Linked DNA regions of Caenorhabditis elegans. The protein of the gene in region 2 interacts with the protein of the main gene of each other region in a pairwise test. Each region holds a gene or a part of one and is shown on either strand. Other genes may lie near its edges.

Region 1 (3,627 bases), on a different chromosome or scaffold from region 2:
TCTCGACTTTTTTGAACCTGTGAAAATTATTAATTTCAGAGCTTTCTCAAGGAAAATTGTCAATTTATCGAGCAGGAAAAGCGCTTCTTAGATATTTTAATGATAAAATCGCTAAAAAACATAATTAAAATGTTATTATAAAAGATATTCAACCTATATAGACGTCAGAAAGTCAACATGAAGTACTTAAGAAATAACAACAAAAATGGAAAATTAACAGGGTTCCTCAATTTTTTTCGATTTTCAACACTTCGCAATGGATTGTGACGAGAAATTGATCGATATTGATTTTGAGAGTACGGTTGGCATATTTTTCATTAAAGTCCGGTTTGAAAACTCTCACAACGTCCTGTTCAATATTTTGATAATCAGCAAACTATTTTCTGTGGTCCAGTCTCGGGAAAAAGGGTAAAAAGCATAAAATTGGAGGAAAAATCCAGTAGTTTTTGAATTTCCAATGTTACAATTGCTGAAAAGGTAAATTAAAATGTGATTTTGAGAGATATTGAAACGATGCAAATGTCAGATATAACTGACATTACAAAAAAAAAGAAAATTTCAACAAAAATATTCATTCTCACTTGAGAAATAACAACAACAAGGGGAATTTAACGGGGGTTTTCAATTTTCTTGATTCGCAGAGATCTTTTATGGATTGTGACGAGAAATTGCTCGACTTTGAATTGGAGAGGACGGGTGACATATTCATCAACAAAGTTTGGGTTGAAAACTCTCACAACGTCCGCTTCAATATCTGGAGGGTCATCCATATTGTTTAAATCGTACAGACGAATCTTTCCATATTCGAATTGAGCGGTTTTCATGAGAACCTACAAATTATAGATTAAATTGTGGAAAGGTCAATATTCGAGCTCACGTCTCTAATTATAATCGCAACAGAGACTGATATTCTGGGCAAGTTGAGTTCGAAACAAGACACATGGACCAAGTGCTCAAAGGGGAAATCATCGAATGGGAACCACTTAATAAAGACTGATTTAACTTGTTTCCATTGTTCTAGAAGAAAGAGTTCATGTATACTTTCATGACCAGAATGACAGAAAAAAACAATTTCTTCAAGAAATCCTGGTTTAAAGTGAGAAAGGATAGAGATGACATTACTGAACTTCGCAACGCTCAGGTAAATACTTTTGGCATGAAACATATATTCTACATTTGTAATCTTTTTGAGAAGGTTTGTGGTCAGTTCATCGTCACACACTGCGTACAAGCTGAACTTATCCAGTTGAAGTTGCGGATTTTTCATCCATACTTCGAGATCACCAAACAGTGCAGCCAACGAGCTTTTGTTGATTTTCCGCATCCTGCGACCATCACATCTTGCAATGCAACCAGAACCTTTTGAATCATAAAATATTGTAGATTTATCATGACCTAGTACAAGATTATAGCCACCCACGACAGAATATACTTTAACATTCTTGAAAATTGGCTTCTTGTTATCAACGAAATTCCGCAATTTTCGGTTTACATAGCGAAGAATCAATCTGAAATCAAAGAGAAATTAAACTTTAAAACTATAAAAGTGAGGTAACCGATCGATTGCATCCAAATTGTCCACAATTGTATGCATTACACACATTGGCATATCGAAGAGTGATGGAGGTCCAGAGCTAAAGTTATGTTCATTAAAAAATTATATTGTTTTCAAGTCAAACCAATTTTTTTTAGTTAAAACAGAAAAAAACTAACATCTCAATAGCCTTCAACTCATCTGTCAGTTTTTTGGCCATTTTCTCGTTGATCTGGTTCGCTTCCATAGGTTTCTGAGAAATATGAAAATTATGTTAGATTTCAAAGTTTCCGGAACAAAAGAAATTAGGACAAAGTACCGGAGGAAACAAAAGAGGAAATTTTCACGTTCAAATAAACGTAATACATAAATGATAAAAATAAATATGTGGTAGTAGGGATGCAAGACTAATAGAAGGAATACTGTAAAAACTCAATCATAGACGTACCTAAAAACAGTGCTGGATCTACAATTTTCTAGTCTTTCAAATAAATGAATTTAATTCAAAAGACATAACTTTGAGAGAACTGTCAAGTAAGGTGTCATATTATAATTTCAAAAACATGTGGATTTTGTATTTAAAGTTTGACCTTTTTATTTAATCGAAAGAATGGTTAAAATATAAAAATACCAGAAATTCCAACCTAATTGAAAAAATGATTTAAATATAAAAGTACCAGAAATTCTATATTAGTTTATCATAAAAAGAAAAACATCAAACATGGCAACAACAGTTTCGACACTGCTTAAGTATGTTCCAACAATTCAGTATTCCTCATTCTCTCGGTATTCGTCAGAGACACAATTAGGGAAAGTAGATTTATTGCTGACCGCTGACAGGTTCCTGAATCGCGTGATTGTCAAAAATGGTTGTTGTCTTCAAATATTCCTCATTTCTTATCTCTGAAGTGTAGCATTATATAAAAGCAATTTTCCGATAATAAGTTTTTACGTTGGTTTGAAAAAACGCACATAAACTGCCGATCGTTCAGAATTTAACATGAAAAAAGTGAAGCTTCATTTTTCAAGCTAGACAATTTTTATTTTGAGATTATTTTCATAATGACAATTCAACCTTTTAGGGTCATTCTGAGTTAATCGAAACAATAAAAACACAACATGAAATAACAACAAAACCGAATCTTATAGATACGGATGGATGGCGAAAGACGCAACGCGATGCAACGAAGTGAGAGGTTGGAGGTTGGATTTTCAAAACCGATGCTATACATGAGTTTATTTCAACAAAAATTGCACCCCGATCAAATCTGACAAATTTTTAATTCGAAAAATTCACATTTTTGCTGGAAAATCATAAATATTTCGTGAAAACAGGCTTCTCTCGGCTTTTTTGAATCTGTGAAAATTATTAATTTGAGAGCTTTCTCAAGGAAAATTGTCAATTTATCGAGCAGGAAAAGCGCTTCTTAGATATTTTAATGATAAAATCGCTAAAAAACATAATTAAAATGTTATTATAAAAGATATTCAACCTATATAGACGTCAGAAAATCAACATGAAGTACTTAAGAAATAACAACAAAAATGGAAAATTAACAGGGTTCCTCAATTTTTTTCGATTTTCAACACTTCGCAATAGATTGTGACGAGAAATTGATCGATATTGATTTTGAGAGTACGGTTGGCATATTTTTCATTAAAGTCCGGTTTGAAAACTCTCACAACGTCCTGTTCAATATTTTGATAATCAGCAAACTATTTTCTGTGGTCCAGTCTCGGGAAAAAGGGTAAAAAGCATAAAATTGGAGGAAAAATCCAGTAGTTTTTGAATTTCCAATGTTACAATTGCTGAAAAGGTACATTAAAATGTGATTTTGAGAGATATTGAAACGATGCAAATGTCAGATATAACTGACATTACAAAAAAAAAGAAAATTTCAACAAAAATATTCATTCTCACTTGAGAAATAACAACAACAAGGGGAATTTAATGGGGGTTTTCAATTTTCTTGATTCGCAGAGATGTTTTATGGATTATGACGAGAAATTGCTCGACTTTGAATTGGAGAGGACGGGAGACATATTCATCAACAAAGTTTGGGTTGAAAACTCTCACAACGTCCGCTTCAATT
Region 2 (2,737 bases):
GAATTGAGCATAGTGAAACTTTACTTAACTAACAAAATTGAAAAATAATATTCCACAAAAAAGGGCAAATTAAGGCAGATGAAAAAAAAAACTTTAAAAAAAAGCACACTATTAAATTTTCCAGATTTAGTAATCAGAACGCTGCATTCAATTCCGTCATGAAGTTTATAAACGTTTAGTTCTTTTAAAACCTAGTATTTTGCAATAAACACCAGAAATGTACAAGTTCGGCCAAATTGGATGCAAAATCAGAAAAAATCGGAAATAAAAATCCGGTAATTTGGGGGCTCACCTCATATTCTGAAACAACGAGAACTTGATTTACATATGGTTCTTTGATATTTAATTTTAAGCAATTTTTTAATTAGTAGTGACACTTTAGTTGTTTGTTTTGTTTTCCAACTATTCTTTTACATTCTTATAACTTCAATTTTTCATTTATGAGGTTTGTAAAATAATTTATTCACAAATAAACTTGAATCAAAGTGTATAAATATATTCTTTCAAACATCTTCTTCACAATATGTGAAATTAAACATCAATCAGAATCCGTTGTGAATGTCATTGCAGATGTTCCCTCTCCACCATTTGCCAACGCTTCCTCCATTTGTTCTTCATCTGACCTGATTCCATAGATCTTGCGAATTTCTTCCGTGCTTTTTCCTCGAATCAATTCTGCTGCGGCTGCACACCCCATATTCATCAAATCTTCGACTCCAAGCGCATGAGAAGCATTGAGTAGTGCAAAAAGAACTCCCGATTCCACGTTGAAAAACTGCTTGTCCCATTCGGAAAAATCGTGGTAACGAATTTTGGAGTCTCGTCGGGCGAGCGGGTTGTCCTGATAATGGTAAAGCCACTCTATTACAGCTTGAACAATCGATGAGTGGAATGGAACGAGAATTGGATCTGCTCGTTCACAATTTCTGTCGTTCACTCCATGGTCAATAAACTTCTGATTGATAAATGCACAAAATTTCATTGGTCCTCGTTCGACATTAAAAATTTGACCATCCTCTGACTTCAGTTTGTACAAGGGCGCAGATCGTGGTGTGGTCATGATGTGGAACTAAAGGTAATTGATTAAATAGTTTTGCAATTGTTTCAAAAATATTATTGAGTGGATTCAAACCACACAAAAATAAATATATAAATGAGATATCTTTAAAGTAATTTTTATTATTTATTTGGCGAATCATAGACCTGTGGAAAAGAGCTGGAAGAATACACTATGAATTTATTAAAGATGGAATGAAACGATTAAAAACTGGAATTGTAAAATTTTTTGAAGAAAAGTGAATGGCGTTGTGAGTCAAGTTGATCAAAGGCAAATTTTCTATATTACAAATCTACAGCGAAAGTTTTAAAATATAAATTGAACGAAGAAGCAGAGAAAATAAAATTGAATACAAGACGGTTGAACACGGGAAATTAGCATTAAATGTGGTGGTGGCTGAGAAGTATGGTGGTTGTATTTAAGTTTTTTTGTAGGGAATCGAGAAGAGAATTTTTGATTCAAACTTGAAAAATAAAGTTGCATTGTTTACAAAATTAGTATGGTTTTTGCATTTTTTCTGTAAAATATAAAAGACGAAGAATACTTTTGCTAAAATGTTGCCCAAATTATCACAAAAATTTCAAAAATGGGCTCAACTTTGATCTTATGATTACATTTTTCTCACTTCAAATATTTACTGAAATGAAAACAAATAGTCTAAATTTTCCCATACCATACGAAACACCACACATCTGAAATGAAATTCCTAAGCCGCTGCAGCCACCACTGGATATACTGGCTGCTCCTCCTCTTCATCATTCACCAATCCGTCAATAATCTCTCTAGGATTTTGTCCGACGACACGGCAGCACATGGCGAAGAGACCAGGTACAGTAAAATCCCTCGCGGCTCGGATTATATCAAAGAGCATGTTGTGCCTCACCATCAGAAACGACGCATCCCAGTCAGGAATATCATTGGTTTCCGGTTCAGATTCGTCGTAGGGCGGGTCGTGCTTATGATGGTCGCACCACTCGATCACTTTCCTCATCACTGTCGCAGGGATTTCTAGTTGAATTGGCTGCAGTTGATCGGCAGGAATCAGGTCTAATCCAGCATTTCTAAATAGGTCCTCAATCCGTCCTATCATTCCGATTGTTCGCCTATCTGCCAGAAATCTCTGCCCATCTGTTGACCGAAGTTTGTAGAGTATTACAGGTTCTTCAACTTGCATTACACTGAAATACTTGAAAATGTCTGTAGTAGAAAGAATGAAAAGAAGAAAAAAAATTAGCAAATAATAGTAATAGTCAGGATTCAAACTATTTCCTTAAATTTTCTAGATGAAGTTCTATTTGTATGTAGTTTCTTGCAGAAGAAAAAACTAAATTAAATCGTTTGACAATAAAATTCAATGTGTAATAATTTCTTTCGCACTTTTGCTTTAAAAAACGTAGCTGAAAATAAAGTTTTTTTATCCGATTCTTAGAACTATTACAATGTTAAACACAGAAATTTTTGGATCAATAAAGTGTATGTCAAGAATATGATGGGTGACCACTAGTTGGTACAAAAAAAATGAAAAAAAAGTCACTGATAAGTCACGACAATCATTACTTTCTGTTGAACAGTTCAATTACATAGCACATTAGGAAAAACTGATTTGAAAATAGCGTTTCAAGAATGTATTATTTTACTAAAATGTTTGAAAATCAAGATTTCAAGAAAATCGATAAGTTT

The links. Proteins that work in one complex are often made in the same cells at the same time.
Region 1: the proteins of skr-20 (region 2) and fbxa-116 interact in a two-hybrid assay, tested with the Caenorhabditis elegans proteins (one large-scale study listed by BioGRID).

Annotation. Positions count from the first base shown.
Region 1 is NC_003283.11:20,187,102-20,190,728, forward strand, and holds fbxa-116 (F-box domain-containing protein), read right to left. Parts: upstream 1,790-3,627; 5' UTR 1,782-1,789; coding exon 1,714-1,781; intron 1,635-1,713; coding exon 1,557-1,634; intron 1,509-1,556; coding exon 878-1,508; intron 831-877; coding exon 609-830; 3' UTR 556-608; downstream 1-555. Other genes in the region: fbxa-115 (F-box domain-containing protein), read right to left, coding at 3,483-3,627.
Region 2 is NC_003284.9:13,222,478-13,225,214, forward strand, and holds skr-20 (Skp1-related protein), read right to left. Parts: upstream 1,061-2,737; coding exon 539-1,060; downstream 1-538. Other genes in the region: skr-19 (Skp1-related protein), read right to left, coding at 1,764-2,231.